Arabidopsis thaliana: one gene and its partner. Changing the gene in region 1 together with any one later gene gives a genetic interaction. Each region holds a gene or a part of one and is shown in the gene's direction. Other genes may lie near its edges. The genes, in order: MYB30 and BRI1.

The links.
Region 2: of MYB30 (region 1) and BRI1, changing one enhances a phenotype caused by changing the other (phenotypic enhancement), as found in Arabidopsis thaliana (one study listed by BioGRID).

What each region holds. Positions count from the first base shown.
Region 1 is NC_003074.8:10,909,171-10,913,915, forward strand, and holds MYB30 (myb domain protein 30), read left to right. Parts: upstream 1-1,961; 5' UTR 1,962-2,272; coding exon 2,273-2,405; exon of another isoform or gene 2,406-2,731; coding exon 2,732-2,861; intron 2,862-2,977; coding exon 2,978-3,686; 3' UTR 3,687-4,020; downstream 4,021-4,745.
Region 2 is NC_003075.7:18,322,837-18,329,640, forward strand, and holds BRI1 (Leucine-rich receptor-like protein kinase family protein), read left to right. Parts: upstream 1-1,620; 5' UTR 1,621-1,989; coding exon 1,990-5,580; 3' UTR 5,581-5,995; downstream 5,996-6,804. Other genes in the region: PLS (polari), read right to left, coding at 6,353-6,463. UniProt on the Arabidopsis thaliana protein: Receptor with a dual specificity kinase activity acting on both serine/threonine- and tyrosine-containing substrates.

The sequences.
Region 1 (4,745 bases):
TCAAATCATTTCTTATGTATATTTTTCAAGAATATTATGCCTCTTTATATTCCACCTCCATACTTATTATGATGATTCATATCCTTACACTTGAATGCGTTATGTGAAATAATATATACTAGTAAAAGAAAATACCAAATCTATTACAATATATTATAAAGTATACATCTCCCATTTTTGTGGCCGTCGAATTTTCGTATTACATAATTACATTCAATAAAAATTCGGATTTGCAACTTGGTACTAAAATATTATGGCAAGGAGTGATAATTCAATGTAATGATGAACTTGTAAAAAAAAAATTAAAAAAATTTCAAATCCAAAAGATACGAATCTAACCTGTAAACAAAACAAAATTACAAAGGATTACAAACTTGGTTCGACTCTCGAAATTAAGTAGCAAATTCTTGTACCTCATTTCAATTTCACGGTACAAATGTTATTTTTCTTTGAATATAATTTAATATTTCTTTAAAAAATATATCTATATTTTTAATGGATAAAAATTACTTCTTAGTAAATAAAAATAATACAAATGAAAACAGTAAGATATCTACTTACCGTTTTACTAATGGTTAAACAGAAAACGGGACATTGTACGTGGAAAAAAAACATACTTAAGCAGTTTTGTTTATGATTAAAGAAAGACCATGCATTTTCAAAGTGGTTATGTAGACAAAAACCTTTTCGAGTTTCATTCCATATGTTTGATTAAACAGCCTGTTTAACACAACTTTATTATTATATCTAACGTAAATCATAAACTTTCCACAAAGTGAAAATTTCACACTTGTACAAATTGTCATTCAAAATTCCTACCTATATAAATAAATTATAGCACAACATTGACAAAAGAGAAGAAATTAAAGTAGTCTCGTGTCTCTTCTTCTTCCTTTTCTTCCGGCCTCGTGAAAACCAAATTGATTTCATCCTTTTTACTTGTTGACATTTACATACATACACATGTTCACATAAATAGATATAGTTGTATATGACTTGTGTCTATCAATCCAAAATCTTCATTATCTACTATACCAAATTCTCATACAAATATCTCTTAATCTCTTTTCACCACCTACGATATTGACATATATAACGTACAATTAATTTCATCAAAACTTAATGTGGCTGTATGACTTGTGTCTATCAAATCCAAAAATCTTCATTATCTTGTATACCAAATTCTCATACAAATATCTCTATATTTCTTTTCACCACCTACGATAACGACATATGTAACGTACAATTAATTCCATCTAAAACTATGTTTACTATAAACTCAAATTGTGGTCCATTAACACTAATCGCGAACCTTACCCGAATAAAACGTTCAACATCATGTATTCATATATGTTTATGTAACGTAATACATATAAACGCATATAAATCTATATATGGAGAAGTCGCTAACATCATGAATGACGTAGACCATCATGTAGTTTGACAATGGCCAAAGACCCACTGGTTCAATCCAAAACAGCAATTTTTTCTTTTCTTCTATATCTTAAAAAAAAAAACTATTCGTTTTGATAAAAAAACAACCAAAACAGCAAATCATGACGCAGAGAAAATCTCGTTCGTCAAAAGACCCTTTCATTAATTTCTATTATTAACAAAGCCTATGCAATACACATAAATGCAATAGCCACTATTCAATTCTTAAAATTATCGTAGCAATAAATCAAAAGTGAGAGAGGGAGATATCATATCATATATCATTATCATGTTATCATGCATGTCCCCATTATTCTTTATTTTTTAATAATAACATAAACCAATAAATTATTAAACCCAATAATATTTTTTTTGTTTGTGTTATTAGGGTTTTTGAAAGAAGCAAGCCCACATTGAATGCCACGCGGTTTTGTATGGAGGGTAGAGACTTTTCCTTTTGCCACACAGCTGACTTTGGAGGCTTTACCTCCACTTTTGTAGTTAATGCTTTACACATTTTTTATATACTTTTATTTATTATCTATACAATTTGAGAGACCCAAGAGTCCAAGACCAAGAGGGGTCAGCAAATTTCTCTTTCTCCTTTTATATATATATATAGAAGAAGAAGTGGACATAGACCTTTGTCGCCAAGCTTAACCATTAGATCCATTTCAGAGCTAAGCGTACTAATTAGTGTACTAAGGGTAGTGTGACTCATTACCACCTAAAGTAGTTTCAATTTTCTTCTATTTTTCTTGGCAAAGAGTTATAGTGGGAAACAAAGGGAGTGGTTAATAAAGAATTAATTAGTTAATTAAGGGAGTTCAAGATCATAATGGTGAGGCCTCCTTGTTGTGACAAAGGAGGAGTGAAGAAAGGGCCATGGACTCCTGAAGAAGATATCATTTTAGTCACTTACATCCAAGAACATGGTCCTGGTAATTGGAGAGCTGTTCCTACCAATACTGGTATGTATAATCTTCATTCATCATCTCTCCTCTCTACCTCTCTATAGATTTGTATGTAGATATTATTTGGATTTAATCTATGAGAGTGAGAGATAGACAAGGAATCAAATTGGTTTGGATTGAAATTTGTGTTCTCCAAATTGGTTTTGATCTTCATTTGGTTCTTCTTTAGGTCTTTAAGATTGTGGAATCAGCTTAATGAAAACATATGTAGAAATTAGGGTTTTGTTTATTGACCATGAAATTAAGATCTAATGCATGAGATCTTGTTATTTATATATTTTCTCATCGGTTCTCAATATTTGTTCGTTCTTATAAATTTTCAGGGCTGCTTAGATGCAGCAAGAGTTGTAGACTTAGATGGACAAACTATTTAAGGCCAGGAATCAAAAGAGGCAATTTCACAGAACATGAAGAAAAGATGATTGTTCATCTCCAAGCCCTCTTAGGAAATAGGTAAAAAATAATAATGACTTTTCAATTTCTCTAATTTTGTCTCTTCACACATTTTCTTTCGAAAATTAGAAGATTTGTTTTGATTTTTAATAGAGAGCATTTAATATTTGGTGTAGATGGGCTGCAATTGCGTCATATCTTCCACAAAGGACAGACAATGACATTAAGAACTATTGGAACACTCATTTGAAGAAGAAACTCAACAAAGTCAATCAAGATTCTCATCAAGAACTTGACCGTTCCTCGCTCTCATCTTCACCATCGTCTTCTTCTGCTAATTCCAACTCAAACATCTCAAGAGGCCAATGGGAAAGGCGACTTCAAACCGATATCCACTTGGCGAAAAAGGCTCTCTCTGAGGCTTTATCTCCTGCCGTTGCACCAATCATTACATCTACAGTGACAACAACGTCTTCCTCTGCTGAATCAAGACGCTCTACTTCCTCAGCTAGCGGGTTTCTTAGGACGCAAGAAACATCTACAACTTATGCCTCAAGCACCGAAAATATCGCGAAATTGCTCAAAGGGTGGGTGAAAAACTCGCCGAAGACTCAAAACTCCGCGGATCAAATCGCTTCTACAGAGGTAAAAGAAGTGATCAAGAGTGATGATGGGAAGGAGTGTGCAGGGGCATTTCAGTCATTTTCTGAGTTTGATCACTCATATCAACAGGCTGGTGTTTCACCTGATCATGAGACCAAACCAGACATAACTGGATGCTGCAGTAACCAAAGTCAATGGTCTTTGTTTGAGAAGTGGTTGTTTGAGGATTCTGGTGGACAGATTGGTGATATTCTATTGGATGAAAACACTAATTTCTTCTGAAGAGTTTGCTTTAATCACATGGTTCTAATTTTAGGATCCTCATCTCTATTTTTTTTTTTGGGTTTTCCAAATTAACTCGCTTAGATTATCGTGAGATAAATCAGTAATAATTTTATTTATTTTCCCTCTTTAATTTACAATTAATGATGGGGTTGTTTTATATATGGCCCTGTGAATTCTGAAGGGGCCTGAAAAATGTCCACCCAATGATTTTAGTAGTATTGGTGTAAAATCCTATATCTATTTTTTATTTATTAAAATGTTGTTATTGCTTGATTTTTCTTTTGCTTTGTAACTTGTAAGTATGATTTACTTTTGAGATGTTAACCTAAAAGTAATTCTGTTACAAATTAAACATACACTGACAAAAAAATTACATATATATATTGGAGAATGACCAAAAAATGCTCGCTCATATCCGGATTAATTAGTCCTAATGTGTAGTAGCCTAGTAAGTGTGGGATATAGAATTAATAATCAAATACTTACAACTTGCACTTAATTGTCAATTTATTTTCCTTAAATTAACCGTTAACTCACTAAGGAAAACACTTAACATTTATTTTAGAGTGTCAAATGGCGCCGCTCAATAAATGAAATCTTAGATTTAAAGATAGCCTTACTATTGGTGAATTTGAAAGACCTACTAATAAAGAAAATAGTACTAGTAAAGAAAAATTAACGAAATATTTATTGCATGAAATAAATAGGGCCGACAAGGTTTAAAGAAACTAATTATAAAAAGATAAATATAAATTTTAAAAACGGGATGGATTGGCACTATAAATATTGAAAGTGATGAAGAATTAAAGTTTGACTTTCTTTCTTGTGACCTTGTGAGTTGTGTGACTTACATCACATAGTTACTAAGTATGAAGAAGTCAATATCGCCATTAATTTAGCTTCTCCTTTGGTTTTTAAGATATTGCCACTTGTTATGCCGATGGTAAGAAACTTAGAAAGAAAAGAAAAATGCTAAAACCGAACCGGAGATTATAGTAAATGTATGGCAGTGGTTCTACTTTGTCTTCGGACTTAGTTGTGGGTGTTTTGCATCTA
Region 2 (6,804 bases), on another chromosome or scaffold:
ACGAGCGCTTATAAATGAGAGTGTGGGGAGGACAGTTTCGTCCCTTTTTTGGAAGTTAGAATCATTACACTATTTTGGCGTTTTGCTTGATTATGATGACATTATAGAATAAAATGTTCTATTATACGAAATTAATACATCACTAAACATACTTTTCATTCAGTTTGTATTTAAAAAGTTACTTGTACCAATATAGTATTCTATCAGGTTGTTTGTTTTTCTGTTCAATTGTACTTATACAAACCTTCCAAAAAAAGTGTTACACTTGCGATAGATAGTTACACAAATGTCATTCTCTATGATCTTCCTTCTTTATTTGAAAATGGTATCGCAGTATTATTCGCTGAAAGTTGAACCTTCAAACCAGTTACCATTGCAGACGACATTTTCTCTACAAAAGTTAAAGTGATAGTAACATATCTCGAATTTAATTGAAAAGTTTACTACTCAAGTAGTCAAGTTCCTGTTACCCAAAACTATGTGTATAAAGTGAATTTTTTGTTAATTATGTAACTATGTATACACCGGGTACAGCTGCACGTAGGGTTTGTACATAATTACGAAATATCTCTATAAAACTGCGACAGAAGGAAAAAATAATAGAATAAGGCTTTAAGAGAAGTTTGGTCTATCCGTCTATGTAAGTGCCAGAGAAAAAGAAAGCAGTTTAAAAGTGAAAGGAGGGATTAATTAGTGGGAAAAGGTTTATCGAAAACTAATAATAATACTTCTCTGATTATTAAAAAGAGATGGAATCTGCCATTAATTGACACTCATGTCCCAATCGTCTCTCACACGTACGTTCGTTTTTTTTTTTGTTTCTCTTTTGCAAAAAGCTATAGAGACAATCTCTCCTCCACTTTATTTTTAGTTTTTCTTTCAGATACAAGTGAGAGTGAACAAGAGAAGAGTGTTAATGTGAAATGTTTGTGGTTGGTGTGAAATTCATGTAAAAATATGTATGTATTACCTTAACATTAAAGTAAATTTGAACTCTTTCAAACTATCACATTGAATGCTCCAAATCTTGTTGTATATGAGTATCAATATAAAAGAAATTTAGATGCTTATACTATGTTCCATTTTTACTGAACACTACTTAACCATTAGTCCATAAATGTGGAATTAGTTAGTTGCTGGCATCTTTATATCAGAATCAAAAGTTTTGCATATTGGGTGACAGTGAGTGCATACACCAATAATTCACCGATCAAGATCCAACCAAGTAAGAAGAAAAATATAACATGAATTATCTTGATTTTTTTTTTAATAAAAATAAAAATCAATGAATATATATGCTTATTATAAAAAAAAACCCAGCACTAAACAGAAGATCAGATTAGACTTGTGTTTTAAAAATATTGAGAAGAGAATCAAGAGATAGGTGGTTGGGGGTAAAATGTATACAAATGTTACAATAAAGTCTTAAGAAGAGTTTAAAAAGGGTAAGTAGGATATGTAGCTTGCAGAAGACTTGATCCCATCCCCTAATCTCACGTTAATTAAACACCTCTCTCATGTACAGACAAAATACCTCATTTCTTTAACTTAAACTTAACAAAAGCTACTATGAGATTAAGGATTTTGTGATGCCATTATTTTATTTATTTTTAGTATCCTCTTGCATTAATTAACTTTTTTTTTATAACCACATACAATAATTAAAAGTAGTATTATTTGTTTGTATCTGTTATCGAAATTGAAATTAATATATATAATTTTTATAATAATCAGAAGAAGAGGTAACATGGCATGTGAGTGCACAGCTGTGACCACTCTTCCCTTCACCATTTGATAAATACCTTCTTCCATCTTCCTTCTTCTGTCTTTTGACTCTCTTCTCTCTCTCCTCTCTTTCTGCTTTCCTCAATCTCTCTCTTTCTATCTCTAGAGCTTCCACTTCCTCTCTAATGGTGGAACCAAAACCCTAGATTCCCCCTTTCATCTTCTCTACTTCCCACACTTTTCTCTCTCACAAACTCTTGAGAAATGAAGACTTTTTCAAGCTTCTTTCTCTCTGTAACAACTCTCTTCTTCTTCTCCTTCTTTTCTCTTTCATTTCAAGCTTCACCATCTCAGTCTTTATACAGAGAAATCCATCAGCTTATAAGCTTCAAAGACGTTCTTCCTGACAAGAATCTTCTCCCAGACTGGTCTTCCAACAAAAACCCGTGTACTTTCGATGGCGTTACTTGCAGAGACGACAAAGTTACTTCGATTGATCTCAGCTCCAAGCCTCTCAACGTCGGATTCAGTGCCGTGTCCTCGTCTCTCCTGTCTCTCACCGGATTAGAGTCTCTGTTTCTCTCAAACTCACACATCAATGGCTCCGTTTCTGGCTTCAAGTGCTCTGCTTCTTTAACCAGCTTGGATCTATCTAGAAACTCTCTTTCGGGTCCTGTAACGACTCTAACAAGCCTTGGTTCTTGCTCCGGTCTGAAGTTTCTTAACGTCTCTTCCAATACACTTGATTTTCCCGGGAAAGTTTCAGGTGGGTTGAAGCTAAACAGCTTGGAAGTTCTGGATCTTTCTGCGAATTCAATCTCCGGTGCTAACGTCGTTGGTTGGGTTCTCTCCGATGGGTGTGGAGAGTTGAAACATTTAGCGATTAGCGGAAACAAAATCAGTGGAGACGTCGATGTTTCTCGCTGCGTGAATCTCGAGTTTCTCGATGTTTCCTCCAACAATTTCTCCACTGGGATTCCTTTCCTCGGAGATTGCTCTGCTCTGCAACATCTTGACATCTCCGGGAACAAATTATCCGGCGATTTCTCCCGTGCTATCTCTACTTGCACAGAGCTCAAGTTGTTGAACATCTCTAGTAACCAATTCGTCGGACCAATCCCTCCGCTACCGCTTAAAAGTCTCCAATACCTCTCTCTGGCCGAGAACAAATTCACCGGCGAGATCCCTGACTTTCTCTCCGGCGCGTGTGATACACTCACTGGTCTCGATCTCTCTGGAAATCATTTCTACGGTGCGGTTCCTCCATTCTTCGGTTCATGTTCTCTTCTCGAATCACTCGCGTTGTCGAGTAACAACTTCTCTGGCGAGTTACCGATGGATACGTTGTTGAAGATGAGAGGACTCAAAGTACTTGATCTGTCTTTCAACGAGTTTTCCGGCGAATTACCGGAATCTCTGACGAATCTATCCGCTTCGTTGCTAACGTTAGATCTCAGCTCCAACAATTTCTCCGGTCCGATTCTCCCAAATCTCTGCCAGAACCCTAAAAACACTCTGCAGGAGCTTTACCTTCAGAACAATGGCTTCACCGGGAAGATTCCACCGACTTTAAGCAACTGTTCTGAGCTGGTTTCGCTTCACTTGAGCTTCAATTACCTCTCCGGGACAATCCCTTCGAGCTTAGGCTCTCTATCGAAGCTTCGAGATCTGAAACTATGGCTGAATATGTTAGAAGGAGAGATCCCTCAGGAGCTCATGTATGTCAAGACCTTAGAGACTCTGATCCTCGACTTCAACGATTTAACCGGTGAAATCCCTTCCGGTTTAAGTAACTGTACCAATCTTAACTGGATTTCTCTGTCGAATAACCGGTTAACCGGTGAGATTCCGAAATGGATTGGCCGGTTAGAGAATCTCGCTATCCTCAAGCTAAGCAACAATTCATTCTCCGGGAACATTCCGGCTGAGCTCGGCGACTGCAGAAGCTTAATCTGGCTTGATCTCAACACCAATCTCTTCAATGGAACGATTCCGGCGGCGATGTTTAAACAATCCGGGAAAATCGCTGCCAATTTCATCGCCGGTAAGAGGTACGTTTATATCAAAAACGATGGGATGAAGAAAGAGTGTCATGGAGCTGGTAATTTACTTGAGTTTCAAGGAATCAGATCCGAACAATTAAACCGGCTTTCAACGAGGAACCCTTGTAATATCACTAGCAGAGTCTATGGAGGTCACACTTCGCCGACGTTTGATAACAATGGTTCGATGATGTTTCTGGACATGTCTTACAACATGTTGTCTGGATACATACCGAAGGAGATTGGTTCGATGCCTTATCTGTTTATTCTCAATTTGGGTCATAACGATATCTCTGGTTCGATTCCTGATGAGGTAGGTGATCTAAGAGGTTTAAACATTCTTGATCTTTCAAGCAATAAGCTCGATGGGAGGATTCCTCAGGCTATGTCAGCTCTTACTATGCTTACGGAAATCGATTTGTCGAATAATAATTTGTCTGGTCCGATTCCTGAGATGGGTCAGTTTGAGACTTTTCCACCGGCTAAGTTCTTGAACAATCCTGGTCTCTGTGGTTATCCTCTTCCGCGGTGTGATCCTTCAAATGCAGACGGTTATGCTCATCATCAGAGATCTCATGGAAGGAGACCAGCGTCCCTTGCTGGTAGTGTGGCGATGGGATTGTTGTTCTCTTTTGTGTGTATATTTGGGCTGATCCTTGTTGGTAGAGAGATGAGGAAGAGACGGAGAAAGAAAGAGGCGGAGTTGGAGATGTATGCGGAAGGACATGGAAACTCTGGCGATAGAACTGCTAACAACACCAATTGGAAGCTGACTGGTGTGAAAGAAGCCTTGAGTATCAATCTTGCTGCTTTCGAGAAGCCATTGCGGAAGCTCACGTTTGCGGATCTTCTTCAGGCTACCAATGGTTTCCATAATGATAGTCTGATTGGTTCTGGTGGGTTTGGAGATGTTTACAAAGCGATTTTGAAAGATGGAAGCGCGGTGGCTATCAAGAAACTGATTCATGTTAGCGGTCAAGGTGATAGAGAGTTCATGGCGGAGATGGAAACCATTGGGAAGATCAAACATCGAAATCTTGTGCCTCTTCTTGGTTATTGCAAAGTTGGAGACGAGCGGCTTCTTGTGTATGAGTTTATGAAGTATGGAAGTTTAGAAGATGTTTTGCACGACCCCAAGAAAGCTGGGGTGAAACTAAACTGGTCCACACGGCGGAAGATTGCGATAGGATCAGCTAGAGGGCTTGCTTTCCTTCACCACAACTGCAGTCCGCATATCATCCACAGAGACATGAAATCCAGTAATGTGTTGCTTGATGAGAATTTGGAAGCTCGGGTTTCAGATTTTGGCATGGCGAGGCTGATGAGTGCGATGGATACGCATTTAAGCGTCAGTACATTAGCTGGTACACCGGGTTACGTTCCTCCAGAGTATTACCAAAGTTTCAGGTGTTCAACAAAAGGAGACGTTTATAGTTACGGTGTGGTCTTACTCGAGCTACTCACGGGTAAACGGCCAACGGATTCACCGGATTTTGGAGATAACAACCTTGTTGGATGGGTGAAACAGCACGCAAAACTGCGGATTAGCGATGTGTTTGACCCCGAGCTTATGAAGGAAGATCCAGCATTAGAGATCGAACTTTTACAACATTTAAAAGTTGCGGTTGCGTGTTTGGATGATCGGGCTTGGAGACGACCGACAATGGTACAAGTCATGGCCATGTTTAAGGAGATACAAGCCGGGTCAGGGATAGATTCACAGTCAACGATCAGATCAATAGAGGATGGAGGGTTCAGTACAATAGAGATGGTTGATATGAGTATAAAAGAAGTTCCTGAAGGAAAATTATGAGAGTTAGAAACAGAGCCAAAGCAGATTCTTTGAACATCAAAATCATCTAAGGGTCAGTCCGATTTTCCTTGGGTCTATTTTTTTTGTATTTTCTACTATATGCTAAGTGTATGTATCTATGTTATTTATACATAAGACGGATGTTTTTTTTTTCGGGCTCGGTCGAATTGGGGGTGGTGGAGAATAGAACTAAGTAATAACTTTGTTAAGAATATGTAAATATACAGTTTTTTGGGGAGGGATTTGTAATGTTTTCGTTTTTAGTTCTATGGAAATTTCTACGTTGCTAACAAATTAAATTTATAATGAATCATGAAGAAACAAAGAGCCAATGTGTATTAAATTTCGACTGATCATGTTCATGTAAATGCACGTGACCTATTAATTCATTATTGTCGGAATTAATTTGGGGAATTCACACTGCACGGGAATGGGAAAGTGAGAATAGATGAGACTTAAATTTGTTTTTATGGATGTTATATTTACATGACCAATGTGGTCCCTTTTGAACTATGCTGAGTTAAACGTTTTTTTTTTTGCTATATACTTATTACTGATGAAATTGAACCGTTGGACTATATTTATATCCATCTACGTTATTTTTTCCATTACTATTGATTTTGTTATTGGCCCAAGTAGAATCAAAAGAATGGTTTTTTGATGTCATAATTTGCAATATAGAAATGGGAGGGATATGTATTGCATAATAAGATAAAGATAAACCTTTATCGAGACATAAGATTGTATGTAGATATTGAAAATGATAGGGTGATCAATGGATTTTAAAAAGTTTAAACAATTTTGCTACTAATAAATAAGAGATTGATATATAACATGGAGAAATGGACCTTCGCCTGAAATTAAAACAAAGTCTGGGTTTCATTCATGTTTCAGTGAGACACTGCGCCAACATCACCACAACAAGTCTTACACAAGGAACGTGTGCCTCACGTGCTCTTCTCTTTCTCTCTGCAGCTACGTGGACTGTCTTCGCTCCCCTCGCTCTTCGGATTTCGTGTTCCTTGCTTTCAAATTCTTTCTTCTTTAATCTTTTTGATTATTTATTTTTCTTTTCTCACTACTACCCAAACTAAAACACAAATCAAGTGTTTAGACTTTTAATAAAACTTAAAGAAAGGTTTATTTGGGTTTTATATGTTCGCTTTAGTCTCCAATACTAATATATTAAGTGGAACATTATAAATACATGCTTCTTATATACTA